3 linked regions of the Elephas maximus indicus genome follow. The protein of the gene in region 3 purifies or fractionates together with the protein of the main gene of each other region. This does not show direct contact. Links are inferred from orthologs where the notes say so. Each region holds a gene or a part of one and is shown on either strand. Other genes may lie near its edges.

What was found. Proteins that work in one complex are often made in the same cells at the same time.
Region 1: the proteins of PSMA7 (region 3) and PSMD5 fractionate together in Homo sapiens (co-fractionation; 3 studies listed by BioGRID). This does not show direct contact. The link is inferred for Elephas maximus indicus from reciprocal best matches to the Homo sapiens genes PSMA7 and PSMD5.
Region 2: the proteins of PSMA7 (region 3) and PSME4 purify together in Homo sapiens (affinity purification with mass spectrometry; 4 studies listed by BioGRID and IntAct, with this or other methods). This does not show direct contact. The link is inferred for Elephas maximus indicus from reciprocal best matches to the Homo sapiens genes PSMA7 and PSME4.

The regions. Positions count from the first base shown.
Region 1 is NC_064827.1:70,761,865-70,771,464, reverse strand, and holds the start of PSMD5 (26S proteasome non-ATPase regulatory subunit 5), read left to right. Parts: upstream 1-3,256; 5' UTR 3,257-3,335; coding exon 3,336-3,508; intron 3,509-9,600. UniProt on the Homo sapiens protein: Acts as a chaperone during the assembly of the 26S proteasome, specifically of the base subcomplex of the PA700/19S regulatory complex (RC).
Region 2 is NC_064844.1:8,231,049-8,240,648, reverse strand, and holds the start of PSME4 (proteasome activator complex subunit 4), read right to left. Parts: upstream 6,827-9,600; 5' UTR 6,815-6,826; coding exon 6,573-6,814; intron 1-6,572. UniProt on the Homo sapiens protein: Associated component of the proteasome that specifically recognizes acetylated histones and promotes ATP- and ubiquitin-independent degradation of core histones during spermatogenesis and DNA damage response.
Region 3 is NC_064843.1:5,783,423-5,793,022, reverse strand, and holds the start of PSMA7 (proteasome subunit alpha type-7), read right to left. Parts: upstream 6,288-9,600; 5' UTR 6,159-6,287; coding exon 6,063-6,158; intron 2,563-6,062; coding exon 2,436-2,562; intron 1,510-2,435; coding exon 1,385-1,509; intron 844-1,384; coding exon 721-843; intron 207-720; coding exon 87-206; intron 1-86. Other genes in the region: SS18L1 (calcium-responsive transactivator), read left to right, coding at 6,728-6,796.

The sequences.
Region 1 (9,600 bases), on a different chromosome or scaffold from region 3:
ATACACTTCCTAGCAAAGTCTTGGCAAAGTAAATGTATCAGCTGTAGTCCTAGTCCTCCTGCCACTGACACTGTTAGATGTGCAGACTCAGAAGTTGCTAAACCTCTCAGCTTTTGTGGACTGTGTTTTTTGTAAAGGAAGGATTAACGTCTTTATGAGTCTGAAGTGAGGAATAACAGGGAAGATGCACTTGAGTGTATTAAAAATTTAAGATGTCATCATTTCAAGAATTCTCATGTCAATTGTCAAGGTTAACTCCATAAGTGATTGACAGATAAACAGGACGTCTGGAAAAGACAGGGTTAGAGAAAATGCAGTTGAGTGGTCCCATGAAAACCTTCATATTTTAAGTCCACTAAATCTGAAGCCTTGGTGGTGCGGTAGTCAGGAGTTCGGCTGCTAACTAAAAATTGTTCTGAATCTACCAGCTGCTCCTTGGAAACCCTATAGTGCATTTCTACCATGTCCTATAAAGTCGCTATGAGTCAGAATCAACTCTATGGCAACGTTTTTTTTTTTTTTTTAAATCAAGACAGTGATCTTCCGTACCTATTACATTACTAAAAATGTGCACTGCTAATGACTGTTAATTACCTCAGATTCCGAGATGATTTTGAGATGATATCCTCAGGTTTAGCACAGGACCCTGCTGAGTATGCTCAATAAATGTTTGTTGAATGACTAAATGATAAAGATGTGTGGCTGGTGATGATCAGGATGATGGTCACAATGAAGGTGACGTTGGGGTAAAAGGGGAAGGATGGCAAAAATGAACTGTTATTTGGAAGAAGCCTCTGGATCTTCTTCTTCCTTCAATTCAGGCACTTCTACTCTAAAATCTAATTCTGTATTTATGGCTTTGGCAGATTCTTCAGCGATTGCAAGGTCTGAGTGCTACTACTGCCTGAAAGTTCAACCTTTTCTTCTCAAAGTTTCTTCTCCTCCTCCTTACTAGACTTTGACTTAAGATTTGGACTTGGATTTGGACTCAGATTCTTCCTTAGAACCAGATTTTGTATCTGTTTCTTTTACCCGTACCACTTCTTTTTCATTATCTGAATCTTCCCCCTCTTCAACTCCTTTTGCTTTTATTTCTAAGGTTCTTCTGTACCACTTCATAGTATACAGAAATTTATTGAAATCTCTTTTAAAGGCCACACTTCTATCCAGGAAAGGATCCATCTCAATTGCAGCACCAGTGAGGTCTAAGGCCTGGCATAAGACAGCAGTTTCCTTAGATTCATTTTTAGTTTTGGTTGGAGGACTTGTCTTCTCCCTCATCTATGGGTGTAGACTCTCATTTATCACCAAAGTTTGAAACTTGAGCAGGTCACTGATTTGCCTGGATCTCAATGAATGTAAAGCCCATCCGTTGTGCAGAGTCTATGATTTTTTTTTCAACTTCATTAACTCTAGGAAAACATGCATCATTTACAACATTCTCCCAAAGTTTCCACCAAGCTTTATTAAGAGCCGCTGGTTTTATAACATCCATTTCTTCTTTTACAACTACCAAAGCATCGGCTATGTTGTTAATGTTGCCATATTTCTTTCAAAGTTTATGGAGAGGATTTTCTTCAATATAGTCAGCAAAATGGTCAAACATATGCTTGGCATAACACCTCCTGAAAGCTTCAATTACACCCTGATCCAAGGGCTAAAAAAGGCTAGTGAGGGGAGAAACACAGTATCAACATTCCAAAAAAAAACCAAACCCAGTGCCGTGGAGTCGATTCTGACTCATAGTGACCCTATAGGACAGAGTAGAACTGCCCCATAGAGTTTCCAAGGAGCACCTGGCAGACTTGAACTGCCGACCCTTTAGTTAGCAGCCGCAGAACTTAACCACTACTCCACCAGGGTTTCCACATATCAATATTCGGATGAGCAAAGTATATTGAGTCTGAGTGATTGGGACCTCTGTAGCAACACACTGAATTCGAGATTTTTTTTTCTGTTAAATAACTTTGGGCTTGATGGACAAAACAATTATGAAACCAATCCAAAAAGAAGACAGTGGTTACCGATACTTTGGGGCATGATCACCAGAGAACAGGAGGGCGTTTTTTAAATCTTTTTCTTTAAGACAAGTGAGATTAGGGTCTTTGTAAAGTAGCAATGGGTTGTATCGTTTTGTCACCTGAGGCACTGGCACAAAAAATAAAGAAAATCATGTCCTTAGCTTCCTCTAAGCTTTCTGCATTTTTTTTTTTTTCCCCTCTGAAAGTACTCAATGGCTCGCACTTCTAAAACAAGCTTATGTCCTCAGCGTTGAAGACCTGTTGAAGCACACAGCCTCTAGCTCTGAGCAGTCTCTGGAGTTGCTTGGGATACTTGGGTGCCTACTCAGCATTCAGCAATTCTTCCTTCCCCATCACCCTAGCATTCTGCAAACAGTTGCGATTTTAAAACTTCTCAAACCATCCCTTGCTCACATGAAATTTCTCTTGGTTGCCATTCCCCATGGTTTCCACCAGCTGCTGGTAAATGCGTTTGGCCTGGTTGCAGATGGCCTTCAAAGTCAGATGACGTCCTCCTATGGTCTGGTCCTCAACCCAAAAGGTTAATTCAGTGTCCATCTTCTCCATGCTTATACCCCAGGGTACGCACAGCACCTTGGAGCAAATGGGTGAAACACCCACCATGCTGGCACTAAATGGCCTTCTCGTTTTTCTTAATGGTGCTCACCGTAAAATTACTAACGCCAAAAAGGCGCCCGACATCGGTCTTACTCACGCCTTCGTCCACCTTATATAAAATTTCCATCTTGTTTTCCAGGGGTACGATCCTCTGCCTCCACTTGTTACGTGTCTGGGGCGGGATGGTGATTTCACCCCCTGCCTCCACTCCACTTGGTGTTACCTCAGCTGCTGCGGAAGCCGCAGCGGCCTCCACAGCTGCCGGTCTCGCCGCTGCCGAGAGCCTGGACAGCGCCCGAGAGGCTGTTTAACCTTCGGTTCGTCCCCATCCTCACCACTCCGCTTGCGGGGCATTTTTGCGAGTCTTCGCTTTCTGTGGTAAAAACCCGAGAAGACTGGAAAGTCAGATGACGTGCCCAAATGAGCAGTGTCCAAGATGCCAACAGACCGAGCCCCACAACCACCGGCAGCCGCTGACTCGGCACTAACAGACAGAGTCTCGCGATGCTTGGCAGCCCCCTAACGCGCGCAGGCCGCCAGCTCCGCATTCCGATTGGTGCGGCCTAGCGGTTCTCAATCACAGCCGACGAGACGAGACGCGAGGCTGCGCCACGCAGATCTCGCGAGGCTGGGAGAAACGCCCTGGGAGCCCGAACGGCGGGCGGCGGGTCGAAGAGCCCCGTCAGGGGGGTTAAGATGGCGGCCCAGGTGCTGGCGCTGCTGCGGGAGGTGTCGCGGTTAGAAGCGCCGTTGGAGGAGCTTCGCGCGCTTCATTCGGTGCTGCAGGCTGTGCCGCTCAGCGAGCTCCGAGAACAGGTGGCGGAGATGCACCTCGGTCCGCTTTTCTCCCTGTTCAACCAGAACCATCGGTGAGAGGATCCTGAAGCTTGAGCGGGGAGTGACACTCCCAAGCCTAGGGAAGAAGTGAATGGGGAAAGGGGAGTGAGTTTCTCAGTCGCAGGGGAGCTAGAAAATAGCCGGAATTTCAGAGGGCTAAGGACCCTGGGCTAGAGAGGCAAGACACAGAGGTTCTAGTTCAGCCTCTGAGGTGTGTCCACGAGCTAGCTTACTCTTGTGGTTTGGTCTCCCTGCTCTCATCAAATAGAAATTGGAGGAGCAAAGCAGTGGTTGACCACCTACAGGGAGGACTCCACAACCACGTATATAGGTCCCTGACATTTTTCCTTCTCTTAAAAATGCATCCCATCCTGGCAACTTGGCAAGACCGTCCACATTTTTTTATTTGTATTTTATTGTGCTGTAGGTGAAAGTTTTCAGCGCAAATTAGTTTCTCATTCAAAAATTTATACACAGATTATTCTGTGCCATTGCTTGCAATGCCCCCAATTTTCAGCACTCCCCCCCCACCCCGTTCCCTCTGTTCTTGTGTCCATTTTTCCTGTCCCTTCCTGCCTTCTCATCTTTGCTTTTGGGCATATGTTGCCCATTTGATCTCATATACTTGCGTGAACTAAGAAGCACTTTCCTCAAGTGTGTTATTGTTTTATAGGCCTGTCTAGTCTTTGGCTGAAAGGTGGACTTGGGGCGTGACTTCAGCTCTGAGTTGGCAGGGTTTTTGGAGGCCGTAGTCTCGGGGTTTCATCCAGTCTCTCAGACCAATATGTCTGGTCTTTTTTTATGAATTTGAATTTTGCTCTACATTTTTCACTCGCTCTATCCAAGACCCTCTATTGTGATGCCTGTCAGAGCAGTTGGTGGTGGTAGCCGGGCAGCATCTAGTTCTTCTGGGCTCAGGCTGGTAGAGGTTGTGGTTCATATGGTCCAATAGGCCTTCGAACTAATATTTTCATTGTGTCTTCGGTTTTCTTCATTCTCTTTTGCGCCAAACGGGGTGGGACCAGTAGATGTATCTTAGGTGGCTGCTTACAAGCTTTTAAGACCCCAGGCACTACTCACCAAAGTAGGATGTAGAGCATTTTCTTTATGAACTATGTTATGCCGATTGACTTAGATGTCCCCTGAGACCATGGTCCTCACTCCCAGTAACTCAAGCCCTCAAGGTGTTTGGATGTGTCTACCAAGCTTTTATGACTTTGCCTTGGTCAAGTTGTGCTAACTTTCCCTATATTGTGTGTTATGTTTCCCTTCATCAAAGTTAACAGTCTCTCCTATCTATTTGGAAACCGTGGTGGCGTAGTGGTTAAGTGCTATGGCTGCTAACCAAGAGGTTGACAGTTCGAATCCACCAGACCCTCCTGGAAACTCTATGGGAAGGTTCTGCTCTGTCCTTTAGGGTTGCTATGAGTCAGAATCAGCTCGACAGCAACAAGTTTTTTTTTTTCCTATCTAGTTACTGATTTCCCCTCTCCTTCACCATAACCATCAAAGATTGTTTTTTTCTTTGTGTAAACCTTTTCTTGAATTTTTATAATCGTGGTCTCATACAATGTTTGCCGTTCTGTGATTGACTTACTTCACTCAACATAATGCCCTCCAGATTCATCCATGTTGTGAGATGTTTCATGGATTCTTTAACATCGAGTGGTATTCCATTGTGTGTATGTGTCATAATTTATTTATCCACTCATCTGTTGACAGGCACTTAGATTGTTTCCATCTTTTTGCTATCGTGAATAGTGCTGCAATGAACATGGGTGTATATGTATCTATTTGTATGATGGCCTTTATTTCTCTAGGATAATATTCCCAAGAGTGGGATTGCTGGGGGTCATATGGTATTTCTATTTCTACCTTTTTAAGGAGGCACCGTATCATTTTCCATAGTGGTTGTACCATTTTACATTCCCACCAGCAGTGTATAAGAGTTCCAGTCTCCCCAAATTCTCTCCACTATTTGTTACTTTCGTTTTTTTTGATAAGTGCCAGTAATGTGAGGGTAAGGTGGTATCTTGTAGTTTTTGCATTTCTCTAAGAGCTAATGATTGCAAGCATTTCCTCATGTGTCTGTTAGCTGCCTGAATGTCTTCTTTGGTGAAGTGTCTCTCATATCCTTTGCCCATTTTTTAACTGGATTAGTTGTCTTTTTGTTGTTGAGTTATTGAAGTATTCTATAGATTTTAGAGATTAGACCCTTGTTGGATATGCCATAGCCAAAATTTTTTTCTTTTTACTCTTTTGGTGAAATCTTTTGATGAGCATAAGTGTTTAATTTTTAGGAGCTCCCAGTTGTCTGGTTTATCTTCTGGTGTTTGTCCATTGTTAGTTATGGTTTGTATCGTATTTATGCCATGTATTAGGGCCCCTAGCGTTATCCCTGTATTTTCTTCCGTGATCTTTATCGTTTTGAATTTTATATTTAGGCCTTTGGTCCATTTTGAGTTAGTTTTTGTATATGGTATAAGTTATGGTTCCTGCTTCATTTTTTTACAGATAGACATCCAGTTTTGCAAGCACCACTTGTTAAAAACAATGTCTTTTCCCTATTTACTGGACTTTTTGGACCTTTGTCAAAGATCACCTGACCATAAGTGGATGGATTTACATCTGGATTCCCAATTTTGTTCCGTTGGTCTATGTGTCTGTCATCGTACCATTACCAGACTGTTTTGACTACCATGGCTGTATAGCAGATTTTGAGATCAGGTAGTATGAGGCCTCCTACTTGTTCTTTTTCTTCAGTAATACTTTGCTTACTTGGGGCCTCTTTCCTTTCCATGTAAAGTTGGTGATTAATTTTTCTATCTCTTAAAGAGTGCTGTCGATATTTGGATCGGGATTGCATTATACCTGTGGATCACTTTGTGTAGAATTAAAACATTTTCTCAATGTTGAGTCTTCCTATCCGTGAGCCTGGTTTGTTCTTCTATTTATGTAGATCTCTTTTGGTTTCTTGCAGTAGGGCTTTGTAGTTTTTTGTATAGCTTTTTTACATCCCTGGTTAGAATTATTCCTATGCATTTCATCTTGCCAGGGGCTATTATAAATGGTATTATTTTCCTGATTTCCTTTTCGAAGTTCTCTTTCTTGGTGTATAGGAATCCAACTGATTTCTATATGTTAATCTTGTATCCTGCTACTCTGCTGAATCTGTTAGTTCCAGTAGTTTCCTTGTGGAATCTTTGAGATTGTCCATCAACATTCTATTTATTTTTTTGAATCAACTGTGTATTTTATTGTGCTTTAAGTGAAAGTTTACAATTCTAAGTTAGTCTCTCATACAAAAACTTATATATGCCTTTTGCTATGTACTCCTAGCTGCTCTCCCCCTAAAGAGACAACACACTCCTCCTCTCCACCCTGTATTCCCTGTGTCCATTCAATCAGTTCCTGTCCCCCTCTGCCTTTTCATCTCGCCTCCAGACCAGAGCTGCCCACATAGTCCCATGTGTCTACTTGAGCTAAGAAACTCACTCCTCACCAGTATTATTTTCTGTCTTAAAATCCAGTCCAAACCCTGTCTGAAGAGTTGGCTTTGGGAATGGTTCCAGTCTTGGGCTAACAGAAGGTCCAGGGACCATGACCTCCAGGGTCCTTCCAGTCTCAGGCAGACCATTAAGTCTGATCTTTTTATGAGAATTTGAGGTCTGCATCCTGCTGATCTCCTGCTCCAGGAGGGATTCTCTGTTGTGTTCCCTGTCAGAGCAGTCATCAGTTGTAGCCAGGCACCATCCAGCTCTTCCCATCTCAGGCTGATGTAGGCTCTAGTCTATGTGGCCTTTTCCGTCTCTTGGGCTCTTATTGACCTTGTGTCTTTTGTGTTCTTCATTCTCCTTTGCTCCAGGTGGGTTGAGACCAATTGATGCATCTTAGATGGCCACTTGCTAGCGTTAAAGACCCCAGACAAGGATGGCAATTTTTTTTTTTTTAATGTCTTCAAACAATAACAACTTATTATCTTACAATAGTTCAGGTTAGAAGTCCAGTGTGAGTCTCACGGGGCTAAAATCAAGGTGTCAGCAGGGCTGAGGGTGGCAATTTTTACTTGTCATTGTATACATATCTGTAGTGTTTGAGTTTTAAACCAAAACCAAACCCACTGCCGTTGAGTCGATTCCGACTCACAGCGACCCTATAGGACAGAGTAGAACTGCCCCGTAGAGTTGCCAAGGAGCGCCTGGTGGATTCGAACTGCCGACCTTTTGGTTAGCAGCTGTAGCACTTAACCACTGTGCCACCAGGGTTTCCTTTAAAATGTTTACAAACTAGTATTTCAAAATGACGTATTATTCACCCATAAAGAGAAATGAAGTTCTAATGCATGCTAGACATGGATGAATCTTGAAATGTCAGACACAAAAGGACAAGTATTGTATGATCCCACTTACATGAAGTATCTAGAATAGCCAAAATGCATAGAGACAAAAGGATATTAGTGGTTACCAAGAGCTGGGGGGAGAGGGAAATGGAAGGTTATTGTTTGAGGGGTGCTGAGTTTCTACTTGGAATGATGAAAAACTTTTGGAAATAGATAATGGTGATGGTTGCACAAGAGGTGGATGTAATTAACGTCACTGGATTGTACACTTACGATGGTTTAAACGGAAAATTTTTCGTTATATACATTTTACTACAATCAAAGGAAAAAATCTTTTTACTTGAAAAAATAATCACTGGACCAACACTGGATTATTTCGGAGGACCTTCTTGGCTCTGACCTTCTAAAATTCCTTCCTTTTTCATACTTGTTCCCCCTTCATTAAAATACATATTAGTTACATTCTTTCAGGCTTTATGCTCTCTTTAATTCAGGCCCTCAGTTTCCCTTTTGCTGGGTCTGTTGCATTAGTCTGACTTCTCATTACCTCTTGGCTTCCTATTCTAGAGTATCCTTCACACACTGCAATCATAGTAATCTTTTTAGGTCACTTGGCTCAAATCTTTCCCATAGCTTACCATTGCTAAGGTATAAAATGCTTACTTAACGTGGCATTTGGGCTTTGACAAGTATATTTCCACCCTACTTTTCCAGCCTCACTTTTTCCTGCACTCCCTTACACATAGATTTTGTCTGCTTCTGCTACCATGTGGCACCACTTGCTTTTCCCTTGAGCATGACTTGGCACTTTGCTGACTTTGTTCATGCCAGTGCTTCTAACTGATATGCCTTTCCCATTTCCAAATTCTATTCATTACTTAAGGTCCAGCTAAAGTGCCAACCCCTCCAAAAAGTCTTTTTTGATCATTCCAATTGCAAGTGACTGCTCTTCAGATCTGCTAAAGGACAATATCATTATTTCTGTCAATATTTATCACTTATTGCCCTGTGTTATAGTTTTGCATGTGTTTATTAGTAGTTTTTAAGTTTTTTGAAGGTAGAGGCTGTATTTTATTCATTTCTACATGCCTCCCAGGGCCTAGCACATAATGTAATACATGCCCAATAAAAGATTAGACTCACAGAGTTTAGAGAGGCCACCTAGTTTAACTTTTTCATATTATAGATGAAGAGATTAATTGAAGGTCATACCACAAGTTAGCAAAGCTGCAATAGGAACTGAAGTGAGAGCGATTGAGGAATAAGGCCCATGTGGGAGATAGTTTGTTGAATGAAGGAGCAGTCCTCTACAAAACAATTTTAATGGAAATTTAAAGACAGCATGATTCAGAGCTGAATACATGGTAGATACCAATTTCAGTTTGTAGGAATAATTCTTCTCTGGATAGTATCTTGGCAGTCTGCAGATATGTTACTTTATATGACTTTGAAGGGCAATGTGGGGTAGTTTATGTCAAAGAATAAGAAAGGTAAAATGAAAGTTCTGTGCTGCCTAAGCTGATGTGGAGTTACCCGTCTTTACCAAAACTTAGTTTACTTGATGTAAGGCAGGCAGGCATTTAGTGAGATAGTATGTATAGTATGTATAGGCTTAGTACCATGCCTGGCGAGTCGGAATCGACTCGACGGCAATGGTGTTTTGTTTTGTTTTGTTTTTATGTATAAAGGGCTTAGTACCCTGCCTGGCATATAATAAGATCTCAGAAAATCTTAGTCATTAGTGCTATTATTATTATTATCCTGGCTAAACCTCATAGATTACTA
Region 2 (9,600 bases), on a different chromosome or scaffold from region 3:
GGACGTCGGATTATAAGGCATTTTTAATAATCCTTAAGCAACCACCAGCCTGGCTGAAGTACAATACTATTCTTACGCTATTTCGTAGCTGCAATGTCGTTAGTTCTTTCTTGGAAAGGAAAAAAAGCTCTTCCTGTATTTTTAAACTCAAAATTTAGGCTCCAGATATTGTGAAAAATTTTATTTTTTTAATTTGGCTGTTAGTCAAATTAGCATTAAAAAGGTAATGCCTACCCAGAATGTTACAGTTCATCTACCAAAAATCCTAATAATTATACTCTAGATTTTGTAAAACTAAATACTTACCTGTAACGGTATCACATTTTTTTAATGAAACAATCATTTATTTAAAAACGAAGTTCTCAAGTCCAACTCCCTGATGCAACCAATATATGTTTTCTCCTCTACTTAGCGTTGCTAAGCCCTCCCCCCACCCCATTTCCACTTTGGGTTATGAAACACACCACTCCCTTCCTTAACCCAACGCCTCCTTCTCTCCGCTCCTTTGGTTAAATATTTCCTTTGAACCCAATATTAAAAAAGACCACATCCCAGATCAATTTTCTCCATTTTGACTACAAAAGTAACAATTCCTTTGATTTGTATACTTGCTAGATTACAGAGAACATCAAAGTTAAGTCTGATATTAGTAAGTGTCTGTGAATGTAGCTGCCACTGTATACATGCTGGGGACAGAGAGGAGGAGAGGTGACTACTGAAGACATTGACCTGAACAGATCTCAAGGTACAGGAGGAAAAGTCGTATGCAAAGAATACTAAATCATGACCAGGGATCAAGACAGACTGCACTGAAAGGAAAGAAATGCTAAGTATAAGCCGAGTATTGCAGGAGCCAACCTCAAGATTCCCAACGGGCACATTTATGGTTTGTACTGCTTTTAACACTCCAGCGTCCATCTCAATGAATGTAGGCGTTTGTTTGCTTGCCTGCTTGCTTGAGCTTCTATGACTATGCTCTCAATTCACTGTTCACACAGAATGAATGAAACTTTGACCTAATTTTCTACAAAGGCAAGGGGGAAATAGATTTAGATTGTTTAAAAAAAAAAAAAAAATTGGGGTGTGGGGTGTCTCTCACTGAACAGAAAAAAGATGCTTTCCAGGTTACACCCTGAGAAAAACTGGTTTATAAGTTGTGTGCTTGTTTACTAACAAGCTCCCATGAAAAAATAACAAAAACTCCGAACACTAAATTTGCCTATCTTTCAATTAAAAATGTGTATTTCAAAGCCCACTGTATCTTGTAACACTGCAGCAAGAACACCTGGGAAATTGTCTGCATAATGACACACTCGGATCTCAGAAGAACAGAAGGGTAACAGTTGTTTTTCTCTTAACTGCCTTCCCCTGTGCCTCGGTGCGAGGCATTAAAATACACCAGTTTGAGATTTCAAGTACAGGTAGTATATTTAGAATTCATATTTTCCTTCTCCAAATTTCCTGATGCAGCTGCCACCTTGTCTGGTCTGTCCTAAATGAACAGAAATGTACAGAGAGAAAACACACACTGGAACTTCCAGAGGGCAGAAAGCTTTCACTGATGTAACCCAAGTGCCAAGTCAGTGTCTGGCCAAGCCAAAAAGGCATTTGAAAAAATAATTTGCTCAAAGAAGGCTGCATTCTGCCTCCACTACTCTATCAAATTACGCACTAACCTCTGAGTCTCAGTGTCATCACTTTGACCGTGGAGGCAACTCAAAGAGTACTTGTTATCCCAGGACTGATTCTAAGTCTCCAAATTTAAGAGCATGGGGGGAAAAAAGATGCCATAATATAGAAATGCTGACTAATGAGTTATTTTCATCTTTGTCCATGAGGTCTCTGTGATAAGTCTCAGGCAAAACAATGCAACTGAAATGCAAACTCAGAAGTGACTTAACAACTGCTGCAAGAGAAGCACAATTTCCCGAGGCTGATGAAAATGATACCGGATTATTCATTTTTTTAGGTTTGATAATGGTATTGGAACTGTGGGTTTTTTTTTTTTTTAAGCCCTTTCTCTTAGAGACACACAGTGGAAACACTGACGAATGAAGTAATACGCTTCACAATAATGAAGGGAGATGATGGAAGAACATGACTGGTCATGAATTTGTAACTGTTGAAGATGGGTGATGGGTACACAGGGGTAGGGTTCATTACTATGTCTTCTTTTGTATATGTTTGATATTTTCTATAACAAAGGTTTAAAGCAAACAAATGTTTCAATAAATATTTAAAAATTGTACAAATCAAAATCAGATATATCCGTTGACAAATGAGATTGTGGCAGAAGCTCTCAGTTAACTCATGAAAACTAACATGGTGTTCAGAAGTGGTTAACTGATAGAGGCCTCAAATATTTTGAAAATGCTACATAAGTACGACCAAACTCATTGCTGTCGAGTCAATTCCAACTCATAGAGGACCCACAGGACAGAGCAGAACTGCCCCACAGGGTTTCCAAGGAGTGGCTGATGGACTTGAACTGATGACCACTGCGCAACGAGGGCTCCATAAGTATGACAGTCCTACCAAATAAATAAACAATAAAGGATACTTTACTGTGATGTTATAAAACTTTGTCAGAAACATCCATGTCCCCCAAAACTGCTTATGTGTTCCCTCCCCCCATGGAAAATCAACTTGCCCACTACAAAGACATTTTGGTTCCCATTTTAAGTGCGGTCACTTCTGAACATCTTCATCTACCACTTCTCCTACCTGGTTATCACTGATGAATGTGATAATTTGTCAATTTGGTCACTATAAGTTGGGGGCCAACTAGACAGCAGCTAACAACCACCTTGACTAAACTTTCATTTCTGGTGGTTGTATAATCTAATCAAATACATCACGTGGTTTCAGCTGGGGTAATCCAACTTCTGCCAGGAAGGGTACATGATGTTCTCAGTAACAGACAACTGAGGTTTCCTTCTATAAGGGATCAACAGTTTAGTTAGCTAAGGAGATGATTCTCAGTGTAACATAGTCAGGTCACTGCAAAGCGGCATCAAGTACATTTTACTGTAACAAAACCAGGATTTAAATTTGCTTCATATGACACCAAATCCACACACACATTTACAAAAATCAAAATTCTGTTTAAGAAAGAACGGAAAAGAGAAGTGAGCGCGGGTGGGGTAAGCTTCTAGGAAACAGTCGCCCATTCACTCCTTCTCCCTCCCCTTTCCTCACTTCCTCCAGGCCAGTTTAAAGGGACACCGAGCCAGAAAGGCCCTCGGGGCCATTTAAGCCCAGGAACTTTTTAAACAGTTTGCTGCTCTGATGCCTGGAGCAGGCTTCTCTTATCAAAAAAATATTAATAAAAAAAAAATCAATGCAGTTTTCATCTGCCCGAGAAGCCCACTTTTTTGTTTAACATTTTGTTTTTATAAGCAGTCCGATGCTAAAATTTAAAAGGTTGAAAAACTAAGTCTAACATCCTCCATCCAAATGAAGAACCTAAAGCTACGAGAGGCCGAGGGTAAGCACTACAAGCGGATGAGGTTATCGGCAAAAAGCCAGGTAGATGACTGAGGTCTTCAGGCTAGATTTCACTGCCTCTTGTGAAAAGTCCGGAAAGGCAGGAGGAGAAAAGCTGAGTTCCCTTCATTCTTACTCGGGCCATACAAGCTATCTACTGACACCTTTCACTGAAGGTACCCAAGAGCTGTTTCCACTGCCCTTTTCCGAAAACCACTAATTTACGCCTCCCTTCTCTCATTTATTTCCTCCCTTCTTGAAGACTGGCCCTGTGACATACTACATCACAAAATCGCTCTTGAACAGGCAGTTTTAATCCTTTAAACTGGCTTGCAAAACAGCTTGTATTACATTACAGGGCCAATTTTTATAACACACAGAAATAACCTTTCTTAACAGAGATGATAGACAGACTTCACATCTCAAGATGGATTGAAACAATTACGTTAACTACCGAAATGCGGTGAAAAGTCAAAAGAGGCGGAGGGAGGGCCAATGCAGATTAAGAGTGTCTCCCAACTCAAAACTCAGCTCCACCCAGACCCGTGACACCCAGCTTAAGGGGCACGTCTCCGGCTGTGGATCCAATTCCAGGGCCTGTAAGCAGCATTTACACCCTGGTCTTCTTTAGGAAAGTTCTTGATCTATGCAAGTATTTCCAGTACTTTACAAACTGTTCAAACAGTCCTTGTAGAAAAATACACTCTGGATTACTTGAGGCTTTACAGGATATAAAAATAAAATCACAGAACACTCGGGCAGGAAGGGTTCTCAGGAATTATTTAGTCCAACCCCCTCGTTACACTTATAAGAAACTGTAATACAGGCTTAAGGAGCTTCCCCGCAGTGGAGGAGCGAGTGGCAGAAACCAGATTTTATTTACGTCACTATGTTTCCATCTTTCTATAAAGTCCTAAATATGATACCTATGGTCACACGTTTTGGCATCGTTAGATACACACTTATGCAGCACGCAGGTCTTAAAGCACAGCAAGCACGTCTGTAAACAGGTCACCTTAACATATGACTTACGAGAAAAACACACAACCAAGATCACAACTTGCCCCAAAATGTCACATACTGCAATCCCAGGAACCAGCTTGCAGCATTTCACCACTGCTCCAAAATAAAGCTCTACCTGATGGCATTTCCTGCTGGTTATTTAGACACACATGACTAAAGGGCTCATCACCATTAAGCCATCTAACTGCAATCCTGCCCTAAACACACAGGGGTGTTCCACTGTAGCCCTTTCTAGTAAAAGCTCCTCTTATCAAATAAGGCCAACAACAACAAAACCCTAGGTGCTAATTTACCAAACCCGGTAACAATAAAGATTTCAGACAACAATGCCTTACTGTGCAGAGCCTTTGTAGGTTCCAGGTTCAAAAATCCAAGCCAGATATGCTTCACACATTGGCCTATTTATACACACAAATCTGAAACCAGCTGTTTGTGTCCACAAAAACTGTACTCTCTGGCAGACCTAACGCAAGTGATGAAAACGGGCGTTTACTGCAACTGCCTCTTTTTAGTGTGCCTGAGGACCAAACAGCTAGGGAGCTCACATGAAAACCATCATTTGATTTTAATCATTTACTCATCTTCCCCTTTTGATGAAAAGCAGTTCTCTGCCTGCTGGAGTCCTTTCTTTCCAAGTTTCCTCCGGATCCTAACGCCACAAACTTTTTTACACTCTAAGTTAAAGAGGAGGGTTGTTAACCTCGACATCTTATGGTCACCTTTTGTAGAGGACAAATTAAGTGCTTCAGTTTTGCTTCTTTTTATTTAAAAAGGTTAATTACTCCCAGTCCTCCCCTAAAAGGCAACAAATTTGTCAGAGAGCCCCTAATAACTGGCAGGTAAGGGCCATCCCATGTGACAAAATGGAAAGATGATGAATGCATTACAAAACGCTGAGTCATCACTCAGCACACTCAGCAGATTTGGGTAAACACTGTCCAAGTGACTTCTGTCTTGTGTGCGTTTGCCCGTCTGTATCCACAGGCATCGACCTACAAAGTTAGCAGGACTTCGTGTACAGTTTATCAAACAGGACACCGCAAGATTCTTTTTTAAAAAGTTCTTCCAACACAGTGAAGATGCACTTCTAGCAAATAAAGTCTCTAACCTTTTCCCCCCACTATCTATTTTTACTCTCCCCCCCCACCCCAATTTCAGGGACACTATAGTTTGGACCTAGTTTACTAAAAACAAATCAACAAAATAGAACTCTTGAAACTCACTTAGGCAATCCAGGTTCCTCAGAATGACCCAAAAACTGACACAAAACTAAAACACAATTTGAAAAAAAAGGGGGGGGGCGGTGGGAAAGAAAACTGACAGAGCCTGATGCTAAGAAAGCACTGGACAGGGCTCTTCCTTGTCTTCCTTAGTATTATAAAGGTCTTTTCAAAGGAAATGTCAACAACGGCGGAACGTACAGTTTTCCCGGGTTCGAGACTCAACACTAACTCAGCTGTCGGTTCTAGTCTACAGCCAGTGCACTGCCCAAGGATGGGCTGAGGGATGATTCCACAGAGACTGAGCAGGCCCAGAAAAGAAGAACCCAGAACTTTCCTTCCGGTCTCCTTCGCATTCAGAAACCGCGGGCAGAAAAGTTACTAGATGGGAATTGAGGGATGTGAGGAGGTGAGTACCTTGGGGGAAAGAGAACCTGAGGAAGCTCGGGGGAAGCCAAGAGGTCCCTCCCCTGAAGACGAGTTGTGTCTGTACAGCCCCAAACCGGCCATGGGCAACGGTCCACGGAGGACTCTTGGGGCCAGTCAGGTGCCCCCGGCTCCCCAGAGCCCTGTGGGTCGGAAGACAACAACCCAAACCCTTGGGGGAGGAGCGGAGGGCGGAGGAGCTCGGAGAACCATGGAAGTCCCGCAGGAAAGTGGCAGGGAAGAGGCAAGGGGGCTTCCCAGGTTTCTGCAGCGGCTCTGGCTGGTGCCACAGCACCGGGACCACCGGCTCGAAACGCAGCCGAGCGCGGGGTCCAGGCGTCCCGGACAAAGGGGCGCCGCCGGCCGCCCTTGCCCTCGGTGCCGTCCCCGTCCCCGTCCCGCAGGCCTGGCACTTACGCCGAGAGTTTCCTGGTCCAGAAGAGGCCCCCGGGCCACAGCTCCTGCAGCTGCACCGCCCGGCCCAGGTTGTTTTTGATCTGGGCCAGCTGCAGGTCGGACTCGGCGTCCAGTCGCTCGGCGTAGGGCAGCAGCTTGTTGTAGACGATCTCCTTCTGCGGGACGAAGGCCCGCGGGCCCGGCTCGGGGCGCCCGCCCGGCTCCGGGGGGTCCCCGCCGCCCGCCAGCGCGACCGGCTCCATGAGCCCCGGGCCACCCCCGCCCCCTCCCGCCCGCGCCCGCCCCGGCCCCCGCCCCTTGCGGGCTCCGCCTCCTCCGCGTCGTCGTCGCCCTCGGCCCGACCGCTGGGCCCCCTCCCCTGGCCGGCGCGCTGACCTCCGCGCGGTCCCCGGTTCGTTGGTGGCGGCAGCGGCCGCTCCGCCCGCCCCACACCGGCTCGGCTGGTGACGCTGCAGTCGCCGGGCCGGGAGGTTCCGGAAGGGCCTCAAGTCACTTCCGGGGCGGGGCGCGGTTTGGGGCGTGGCCACGATGGGCGGGGCGGGGCGGGGCCGCGGCGGCGGCGGGAGCGGGAGCCCAGGGCGCCGAGCCTCGGTGGCCGCCGCCCGGGCGCCGAGCCCTCACCCCGGGCCTCACAGCCGAGCCTCAGGCCGGCCCGCCCGCCGGAAACGCGAGGCCGAATTCCGGGCTATTGTCCTGCCTCGCTGGGGTCGCGCGCTCCCTGCCCTCGGCAGCCCGAGTCGCCGTGCCTGCGGCAGGGGCGAGGACCTCCCGGTTCTGGGCTTCGAGGATTGACGGAAAAGCCTCGGTGCCTTGCGTGCATCCCGCTTGCTAAACTTAGAGATTTTTATTCTGTCCCCTCCAAGCCCCCGTCTTTCTGGAATTCTCCCGGCCGCCATCAGCCCAAAGAAAAACAATGGTTATTCATTCACCAAATAGTAATTGAATCAGTATAAGAGCACCTGCCTTCTGCCCTGCAGGGACTTTGAAATGGGGATGCGGACTAGTGACTGAGCAATTCAGAGACAGAGCTTTTAATGGCTGTGTAAGTGCAGGGTGCCTCGGGAACTCCAGGACCACAAACTGGAGGGATATCAGGTGGGTTCCTGGGAGTGAAACTTAATAGGTAGGAATTGAATATACAGGGAGCACTCTAGGAATTCAGAGAAGTTCAGGATGGCTGAAGATGGCTCGCAAGAAAGGAGAGTGTGGAAATGAGACTGACAAAAGCCCGAGGGGGTTTACATCTTTATCCTAAGGGCAACAGGAAAGGAAAGATTTTACGCATAGGAGTGGCAGGATAGGATTCGCATTTTAGAAGAATCACTGGCTTTGCTTGGGTTGGACAATGTTGGAACTGGAGGACTGGTTAAAAAACTGTGCAGTCATGTGGACGACAGAGGAATGGCCTCGTTGTCAGGTGAAATGTTTTGAGAGCTATTTCAGGAAGTAGAATGGTTGAGGCTTGGTAGTTGATTGAACATGAAGCGTGAAAGAGGGAAGAGACAGGAGGATGACAGATGTCTGGCTTGGGGGACTGTGTAGTGAAGCCCTTTGTTGAGAGCACGCCAGAGCAGAACAGGTTTGGAGGCAGAAATAGCAAAATGCTTTTGGGATGGTTACATATTTTGAGATATGGATCAGCAGGATGATCTAAACTGTAATATGGATTACCACACAAGTGGATAGGAGGGGATGAGATATCGTTGTTAGGTTCCGACTCACAGCGACCCTGTGTACAACAGAAGGAAACACTGCCCAGTCCTGCACCATCCTCATGATCCTTGTTATGCCTGAGCCCATTGTTGCAGCCACTGTGTCAATCCATCTTGTTGAGGGTCTTCCTCTTTTTCACTGACCCTCCACTTTACCAGACATGATGTCCTTCTGCAGGGACTGGTCCGTCCTGATAACTGGTCCAAAGTATATGAGACAAAATCTTGCCATCCTCGCTTCTAAGGAGCATTCTGGCTCTACTTCTTCCCAGACCGATTTGTTCATTCGTTTGGCAATCCATGGTATATTCAACATTCTTCCCCAACACCATAACTCAAAGATGTCAATTCTTCTTCAGTCTTTCTTATTCATTGTCCAGCTTTCGCACGCATATGAGGTGATTGAAAACATCGTAGCTTGGGTCAGGCACACCTTAGTTCTTTAAGTGACGTCTTTGCCTTTTTAACACCTTAAAGAGGTCTTTTGCAGCAGATTTGCCCAATGCAATGCGTCCTTTGGTTTCTTGACTGCTGTTTCCATAGGTGTCGATTGTTGATCCAAGTACAATTAAATCCTTGACGACTTTAATCTTTTCTCCATTTATCATGATGTTGCTTATTGGTTCAGTTGTGAGGGTTTTTGTTTTCTTTATGTTGAGGTGCAATCCATACTGAAGGCTGTAGTCTTTGATCTTCATCAGTAAGTGCTTCAAGTCCTCCTCACTTTCAGCAAGCAAGATTGTGTCGTCTGCATAACGCAGGTTGTTAATGAGTCTTCCTCCAATCATGATGCCCTATTCGTCATATAGTCCAGTTTTTTGAATTATTTGCCCAGCATACAGATTGAATAAGTATGATGAAAGGATACAACCCTGATACATACCTTTCCTGACTTTAAACCATGCAGTATCTTCTCGTTCTATTCAAACGACTGCACAATTGAGTGTTCTGGAATTCCCATTCTTTGCAATGTGATCCATAATTTGTTATGATCCACACAGTCAAATGCCTTTGCATGGTCAATAAAACACAGGTAGACATCTTTCTGGTATTTTCAGCTTTCAGCTGGGATCCATCTGACATCAGCAATGATATCCCTGGTTCCATGTCCACTTCTAAATATGGCTTGAATTTCTTGCGTTTTCTTGTCTATACACTGCTGCAGCCGCTTTTGAATGATCTTCAGCAAAATTTTACTTGCATGTGATATTAATGATATTGTTCGATAATTTCCACATTTGGTTGAATCATGTTTCTTTGGGATAGGCATAAATATATATCTCTTTCAGTAAGTTGGCCAGGTAGCTGTCTTCAAA
Region 3 (9,600 bases):
CCACCACTACCTCCACATCAGCCATCCTGTCCTGTCCATTCCATACACGCAAGGAATACTCCCACCACATGCGGACAAAAACCTACCTCCAGGAGGGCCTTGATAACAAGTTTAACGGCCAGGTCGTCTGTCTCAATGGCTTCATCCGTATAGTTCTTCTCCAGGAATTCACGCACTGACTTCGCCCCCCGGCCGATGGCATTGGCCTGAAAAAACATGTTCCATGCAGCACAAGGCATGCAGCCCACAACCCCCTGAGTGGCCAGCAACTGCCCTGCTCCCCGGGCCCACTCTGCCTGGGGTCCAGGGAGCTACAGCGGCAGGGCAGGGGTGGGCTGGGCCCAGGACCTGCTCTATGGGTCCCTCCTGTGAAAGCTCTTAGAGTTGGTGCTCACCCTTACCAAGAAACAGATTATACTTTCATTTCATTCCCAAAGACACCTGGGAGCTTTTAACTGTTCTATTTCTCAAACCTCACCATCCTTTGACTTCCTCCCAAATGTCTCTGCTCCTGTATGGTTAGAGCTGTCTTAAAATGTCTCTGCCCCCGTATGGTTAGAGCTGTCTTAGAACACTCACGTTCCATGTGTACGTGCACCTTAATGTGCACGTTAAGATTAGGCTAATTTTAACTGGCACCAAGGATCACTGATTCAGGCCCAATCCCTGTCGGCGGTACCCAAAGTCCCTTTATCTAGAAAGAAAGGCTGCCAGACTCACCTTCCAGGCATGGTATGTGCCTGAGGGGTCGGTCTGATACAGTCGGGGAGTGCCGTCAAAGTCAAAGCCCACGATGAGGGCAGAGATTCCAAAAGGTCTGCGCCCATTGCTCTGCGTGTAGCGCTGCCAAGAAATGAAACAAGTCAGCGCCACCTTCCTTCAGCCTTGGCACTGGCACAAGGCCCCAAAGCTAGCCACAGGAATTACCAACGACACCCCAAACAACTATGGTCTATCTCGGAAATTCCAGGGAAGAACGGAAGTATTTTAAATTGCTCAGCCCACTCTCAGGTTACTTGCAATTCCGATTATGAATGAAACTAGCCCACAGCTTTCAGCATTCCTCTCTGCGTATCCGTCACCCTCAGGAAGACCCGCCTGTGACCAGAACCACATCATGGAGCATAACAGAGGATCTCTGGAGTCACTCTGATGGAAACAGATGGGCTCAGCCTGCTGAGGGGTGGCTTTCCGCCCCTCCCACGTGCCTGGTGCCATTTCCCCACGCCACCAAACGAGAGCAGGAGACCACCATAGCGAACTGACGTGTACCACTGAGAATCAGGACTACCCCGGTGCTCTGACTGCCTCACGAGTAACACGGGACACTTTCCACAGCAGGCCGATGCCCCATGCTGGAGCCGTGCACCCAGGCAGTGCACACCTGCTTCAGACTGGCAATATAGCGGGTGATGTACTCCACGGTGACCGGGTCCTCCACTGTCAGCCGGTGGCTCTGGCACTCCACTCGGGCCCTGTTGATGACGATCCTTGCATCAGCGGTGAGGCCTGCAATGACAGCAGAGCAGAGCTTCCACCTGAGCCACACGTGCCCAGTCCAGTGAGGACGACACTCGGGATGCAAGCAGGACAGCAGTGGCCCTCTGGCATGGATCTCAGACTAGTCCCACGCAGCCAAGCACGGAGGCCACCTGAACGACTGCCCGCGCTTAGCCACACTAGGTTATTCCCTTGGGAATTCTGTCACGAGGCTGGTCAACCCCTTATTCAGGTCATGAGAGGCAAGATGAAGAGAGCTAACCCGCACCACGTGCTCAGTGGCCCTGCCCTCTCACCTTACAACAGCGTGTGCAGCCCAAGAAAGCCTGCCCTTATATCACAACAGAACAGAAAAATGGCCATGAAGGGACACGGCACAGCAGCCACATCCTGGAAGTGCTGCAGAGGTATCCTGTGACACTCTGGCCAATCCTTTAAAATCCCACACCCATTTCTTGTTATGGATTGAACTGGGTCCACCCCAAAATATGTGTTGTAAATCCTAACCCTGTAGATGCGACCCCATTTGGGAACAGGGTTTTCTGTTATGTCAGCGAGGCCATGCCAACACAGGGTGTGTCTTCAGCAGTCAATTTTGAGATGTAAAGAGCAGATGGGGCACAGACAGAACAGAGATGACCAGGGACCACTAGAAAAGCTGCGACAAGGATTTCTCCCAGAGCAGACAGGGAAAGCTGTCCCCTAGAGCTGGTGGCACCCTGATTGCAAACTCCCAGCCTCCTGAACTGTGAGAAAATAAATTTCTGTTCATTAAAGCTACCCACTTGTGGTATATACGTTACACCAACACTCATCAATGGCTCTTGTTGACCAGTTGACACGTCCCCCAACAGCCTTTCCCCCCCGCCGCTGCCCTTAGAAGTTCTGTTCTTTGCTGGACCTCAAGGAACAAAGCCCTGTCCTGAGACTGGTACCTGCAAACGCCATGCAGACATTGTCATCCAAAGCACAGATCTTCCGCACCGTTCTCTCATCCTGCAGTTTGGCCACAGATTTCTTTTCCACTCCAAGAACAACAATTTCTCTTCCTCGTACGCCAACCTTCAATAAAAATCAACAAACCGCTTAATACAGTGACTGAGGTTCTGCCACCAGGCGAAGCAGCAGCCCTCACCTCACCAGGTGTGCCAGGCACAGCCTGCCCTCCTCCATGTGCCCGCCACTACAGTCAGCAACACACCCTGCCAACCCTGGGTATCGGCTCTTTATTGGCAGAACTAGCTGAAAGTGAAGAGGACTTGAAGCCCTTACTGATGAGGAGCAGAAGGTACAGCCTTCCGGATGGATTACACTTTAACACAAAGAAGACAAAAATCCTCACAACTGGACCAGTAAGAAACATCACAATAAAGGGGGAAAAGACTGAAGTTGTCAAGGATTTTATTTTACTTGGATCCACAATCAACACCCATGGAAGCAGCAGTCAGGAAATCAAAAGACGCATTGTATTGGGCAAATCGGATGCAAAGACCTCTTCAAAGTGTTAAAAATCAAAGAGGTCACTTTGAGGACTAAGGTGCGCCTGATCCAAGTCATGGTGTTTTCAATCGCCTCATACGGATCCAAAAGCTGGACAATGAATAAGGAAGACGGAAGAAGAACTGATGCCCTTGAATTATGGTGTTGGCAAAGAATAACGAATATACCGTGGACTGCCAGGAGGCAGAACAGATCTGTCTTAGAGAAAGTACAGCCAGAGTGCTCCTCGGAAGCGAGGATGGCAAGAGTTCATTTCACTTACATTGGACATATTATCAGAAAGGACCAGCCCCTGGACAGGGACATCGTGTTTGGTAAAGTAGAGATCAGTGAGAAAGAGGATGACTCTCAATGAGATGGACTGACTCAGTGGCTGCAACAGTGAGCTCAAACAAAGCAGTGATCGCAAGGATGTCGGAGGACCGAGTAGTGTTTTGTTCTGTTGCACATGGGGTCGCTATGAGTCAGGATGGACTCGACAGCACCTAAACAGAGGTTATCCAGGTACTCTAACCTAAAATGCCCGACGCCATGCTTTTAAAATACTGAGAGTTCAATCATAACGTAACTAAATTACTATATAATTAGCATATGCGTTATTTAAATCTAATGAGTTAAACAGTTGCCCTTAATGTCGTTGGGTGCCATCAAGTCAATTCTGACTTATAGTGACCCCATGAGACAGAGTAGACTTGCCCCATAGTTTCCTAGGCTGTGATCTTTACAGGAGCAGATTGCCAGATCTCTCTCCTGTGCAACCGCTGGTGGGTTCAAGCCACTACCTCTTGGATAGCCGCTGAGCGTTTAACCATCATACCACAAGTGCTCCTTAACAGTGAAGTTAGGTATTCTGAAACGAACGTTTCTAAGTTGTGAAATTACGAACAACCCATTGTGCCTGTCCCAGCAGTGCCGTGTGCTAATGCACCTGGCTGTGTGAGGACTTGCCATTGGGGACAAAGGTGTCAGCTGTTGTTGGGAGGGTAGACAGGAGATGATGTGGCCATTGTTCCAAAGAGAGAACCTCAGTTCCGTCCCCACTGAGACAGAAGCAAACACAACGGGACAACTCTCAGAGAGATAACAGCCCTGGTTATTTCTGAGCGGAGCCTCCCAACACCCAGCACTGCTGACGCTCTGGCTAGATGACTCTGTGGGCAGCTGTGCGGGCACTGTAGGGAGATTAGCAGCACCCCTGGCCTCTACCCACTGGATGATAGTACCCCTCCACCTCCTTAAAAATTTAGATACCAAAAATGTGTCTTAAAATTGCCAAATGCCTCCGGAGGAAAAAGTGCCCCCAGTTCAGAACTACCTGACCACTCCCAGAGAAATGGACTGGTTTGCAGGAGCTAAGCCAACAGGTAAGATTTGGGGCCTTCATTTCTAAACAGCTAAAACTTCAAGAAATGAAAAGGAAACGCATAGCACCGCACGGGTTGCCTCTGCTCTGCAGCTCCAACCTCCCCAGTGCTGGGCTTGAAGTGAAAAACTGGCAGAGAATTTGCAGTGACAAACGGACGGCAGCGTCACGTGCTGTCTCTAAGCTCCCTGCACATCAAAACGGCCCTGTGTGGTGTGAGCTGAGGCCCAGCGTGGTGTAAGCTGAGGCGCGGGCTGACTCAGATTGGGTCGGGCTTCTGTGGCCTAATGGTCAGATCCAGGGACGCACCTGCCCAGGCCCTGCATTGCTGACACTGGGAGCCAGCAGCTTTTTGTTCTCCAAGCCCACCAGGTCCTTTGGAGACAACTCATTTCCCTAGTGGAGGAGACCCCCATAACTCGGAGCTGGCTGAGTATCGTTGCTCCAGCGCACCAAGGAAGCCTGCAGGAGCCAGCCCTGAGAGCCCATCTGCGCCCCTGCAGTGCGTGGGCCAGCCACACCCCCGCCGCAGTCCCGCCCAGTGCAATGGTGACCACGCCAAGATGGCCGTCACACTGCCAGCATCGCGCGGGGCTCAGGGGGGCACTCCGCTGCAATGAAAGATAAGCAACCCTCCTTAAGTTTCCACCCCCTTCCCGGAACTCCGCTGTTTGTGAAAACGCCTGTCAAAAACCGTGGGCAAACATCTGCCGATATTTCTTTCAGTTACCAACGCTGTACGTCCCCGGCCTACTCAACCTCTGAGAAATAAACAAGCCGCTCAGTCCTGGCTCGCTCTCCACCCAAACAGCAGAAAGCCACTGACACCGCAGGCCCAAGGCCTCAAATCACAAACGCGGTTCCTCCTCCGTTTTCCTTTCGAACAGCGGCGTCGTTGCTTCCGTGCGCTCCACTCCTACCACTAAAACAACCTAAAACCAAACCCACTGCTCTCGAGTCGATTCCGACTCATAGCGACTCTATAGGACAGAGTAGAACTGCCCCATTGAGTTTCCAAGGAGCACCTGGTGGACTTGAACTGCCGACCTTTTGGTTAGCAGCCGTAGCAATTAACCACTACGCCACTATGCTCAGTTAAAACAGCGAGCCCACCACACACGCCCCCGAATACAAAGAGGGATCAGCACAGCGGCTCGACCAAAGCAGGGCAGCGAAGGCAGAGCTGCCGCGCCGCGCCAAGGTTTAAGGCGCGTACCGGGGAAAGCGCCGCCGCCCGCACGAGAACGCGCCGCTTCCCGAGCCCCCAGCACCCGCCGCCGCGCCCCGGACCACCGCACCCGCCGCGCCTGCCTCCAGGACGCAGGCAGCGGGACACACGGCAGCTTCCCGAGCACCACCCTTCCGGGACCCCGGCACAGCCCGAAGCGCAGCCCTCCCCGGGAATCCTCCCTGCGCTCCCCCGTAGGCTTCCTGGGATCCCCCAGCCCCATCCCGGCGGGCTCCGGGCGCGCACGCCCCGGGAAATTCCCGGCCCACGGCTCGGCCCACTGACCCTCCCCGCGGGTTTCGGGGCGCACACCTGCCGTCGACCCCGGCCCAGGGCGCGGCCCTGCTCGTTCTCCCTTCGGGGTCCGGGGCACGCACCCTCCGCGAAAACCGCCAGGAGCCCCGGCCCCCGCGCGGCCCACTTCCGCCTCGATCCCCGGGCTCGCGCAGGCCTCGACCCGGCCGGTCTTACCGCGGTGGAGCCCTTCTTTACGGCCTCCTGTGCGTACTCCACTTGGAAGAGGTGGCCGTCGGGCGAGAAGACGGTGATAGCGCGGTCGTAGCTCATGGCCGGGCCTGGCACGGCCTGCTCCGGAGACTGCCCGCTGCGCCCCAGCAGGTAGGGGAGACCGCCCGCGCGCGTCCTCAAAAGCGCACACTCATGCGCCGCTGCGGCCGACGCACCACGCCGGGCTACGGCCTACGCTGCCGACGCATGGCTACGCCGCCGACGGAAGCCTACGACTGCGCTGCTCGGCTGACCCGCCGACGGAGGCTTACGGCGCCATCGCACGGCTACGCTGCCGACGGAGGCCTACGCTGCTGGCGTAAGGCGTGGGAGGGCGTCCGGAGCGCACCACGGCGGGCGCGGGGGAGCGCGGCGAGAGCGGCGACGGCGGGTGCGGCGCGCGGGACAGGCGGCGGAGCGCACGGCGCGGGGCGCTGAGATAGGATCGGCGGCGCGCGGGGCGGTGGACGGGCAGGCCGGGGTACGAGGCGGAGGCGGCGGCCCGGGCGAGCCCACCGCGCGGCGCCCCCCGCCCGCCCCGCCCCCACCGCTGCGGAGACAGAGCGTCCTCGGACGCCGCGCGCGGCCAGAGAATAAGCCCCATGAGCCAGGGCTGAACCTCTGCCACCATGTCCGTGGCCTTCGCGTCCGCCCGACCGAGAGGCAAAGGCGAGGTCACGCAGCAGACCATCCAGAAGGTGGGCCGCGGGCCGGGGCGGGCGCGGGGGGCGCAGGGCCGGAACAAAGCGCGGGCGCTGCCGCACCGAGGCCGCCCCCCGCGCCCCTCGCAACGCTCTCGGGTGCGACCGCCGAGGCGCGCCGCCTGCGCCAACTTTGTGGGGGGCGCGCCGGCCCGGGTGGGTGCGGGGGTGCCCGGTTCCCCAGGACGCAGCCGGTGTCCGCGGTGCTTGCCGGAGCCAGCCCGGGTCATGCCGGGGACAGGGTGCCGGGGACAGGGTGCCGCCGCCCGCGGGGCTGGGGACAGGGTGTCTCGGGGCCGGGCAGGAGCAGGGCTGATCGCGCTCGGTTGCAACCTGGGTGGCGAAGCGGCGGCGGCCACTTGCTTCTGCTCGCACGTTGGCGAGTGGAGAGGGGCCGGGTGGGCCTGGGGTGCATGGCTGGGGCGGCACGCAGCCTTTTCACAAAGGTGCTGACGCTTGGAGCCAGGAAGGGTCGGAGCAAAGTGTGGGGATCTCGTCCCCGAAGCCCCGCGCGTGAAGTCCACTTGCTCACCAGTGCGCCACCACCTCGTACTCGCATGTAACATTCTTTTTAGCGTGACACCCTGGCCTGCTTTTTCAGCTAACAGAAACTTTGTAGATTTGCCTCACAGCGTTCCTTCTCGTTTTACAAGCTTGGCACTGCAGTTTTCTAGGGATATCATTGATCTAGGCTTAGGAACGTGTTTAACAAATGCTTTTTAGACAAAAGCCTGTAGTTTTGAAAGGGAGACTTGGGATGTCTTATTGTTTCTTATTAGAAGACTCGCTCAGAAGGGAATCCGAGGCAGGCATTCCGCTTTAATCTCCACAACGTCATTTGTAGCTACATCGTTTTCTTTTCTGAACTTTTGATTCCGTTATCATTCTTCCTGCGGGTTCCCAGGAGCGTCCAATTTTCCTTCGGGGTGCACTTTGCTGACTGTGCCCTGTGTTCTTTGGTAATCTGCTGGGTCCTCGTGGAGGTGGCCCTCAGTCTGTGACTTGTCGTCGTATAAACGTTACTACATTAGCTGGCGTTAGGTGTTCAATGATTTTAACAAACAAGGAGCCTCAGCAGATTGAGAAGCAGTAGAAATGCAGATCTCAGAGTGTGGCGTTTTAATTGTGTAATAAACATTACTGTAGTGCTTATTGCGTACCAGCCAGGTTCTAACAGTTGTCCAAGTCTTTATTCGTTCTGTTCTTCCAGGTGCTTACTATCTCTTCTGCTTTATAGGTAAGGAAGCTGAGGCATAGAGAGGTTAAGTGCCTGCCTGGTAAGTTGTAGAGCTGGGAGTCGAACCCACACAGTGGAGCTCCAGGGCCCTCTCCAACCATGACACTGACCTTGGGACACTTGGCTAGGCAGAGGGCTGGGCATGTTTTGGCAGTTGAGAGGGGCTCCTGGCACCCTGGTTTTGGGGAGCTTATCTCTGATAAGCACAATCGTCATTCCATCTTTGGCTTCCTGCCCCCCAACTTCTCCAGGCAAGCATGTGTGTTAGTGCGGCCACCCCCAAACACAGTGGTCAGAAAGAGGAGAGCCTACCTTCAGACCCTCAAAAATGGGCTGGCAGCTGGCTTGACCTGTCCAGTCGGCAGTCCACATCCTCCTGCCTGTGCGTTTTGACAGTGAGTCCGTGCCCCCAGAGCTGTTTTACTGGGTTGCCTGGGGGGGTGTGACAGTCTGTGCCTTGCATTCAGAGTGTGGTGTTTGCAATGTGTGGTCGTAGGTATGCGTTGGGGGCGTTGAGGAAAACCAAGGGTGGTGGCGAAGAAGCAGGAGGTGTACGCCTTGTTCTCAGAGCGTATCTGTCGGTGGGATTCTGTTAGGCAAAGTCCTATGCCACCTTCAAGGCCCTACTCAGATGCCTTCTCTCTCTTTGGTTGGCATATGGCCAATATAGCAGTTTGACCCATAGCTTGAGCTCCTGGGCTACTTTCTGTTTGCAGTCTCCTGAGCTCCTGGGCAGGGTGAGGGCTCAGGACATACTAAGGGTGGATGACACTGGCTTTGTCAGTGGGAGTGCTTTTGTTAAGTGGGTGTGTGCGTTTTGGGGGTGTTCGAGACAAGAAACAAATGAAAAGAGGGTCTAGAAGTTTGAGGGAGTCATGGGTCGTCTCATGCAGGGACTGCGTGGAGCAGTCCAGAAAGGCAGGAAAGGCTGGCCTGCCCTGGGGACCTGGGCCCCGTGCTGAGGACATGGTGCAGGGGGAGAAGCAATCAGAAAGTGCTTGGGTGAGAACTGCTGAGCTCGGGGTGCCACTTTGGTGGGCCTTAGCAAATCCAGCAGCCCCTGCACTCAGCTGCCTGGCTGAGTGGCTGGGACCTGTCCTCTGCGCCTCCCCTGCGTCTTGGGACCAGTGTGTCCTGTTGACCAGCACTGCACTCTGGGGAGGGCAGCAGTGTGGCCAGGTGTGGGCATGTAGGAAAGGGCCCTGGGCACGAAGCTCCTCTGGCCTGCTTGGTGCTTCCCTGCTGCTCAGCACACAGTAGTTGCTCAATAAATGCAGCCATTGTTGTTACACTTTGTATGGCATTCTTGATTGTAGGCTGGGGATGAGGTCTTGTCCCTCTGCGTCCCAGCAGCACATGCAGGGCGAGATCGGTACACAGCCCCGGGAGGGGGGGGACGAGGTGGGGACCTGGGGCTGTTTGCCAGTGAGGAGCTGCAGGGGTGGCGCCGTCAGGCTGCCTGGGCCCCTTTCCTTCCCCAGTTTCTTTGTTCTTAAGACCAGAAAGGGTGATGCCCTACCCAGCATCCCAGAGCATGAGTGGGCCAGCCCTGCTCCAGTGTCCT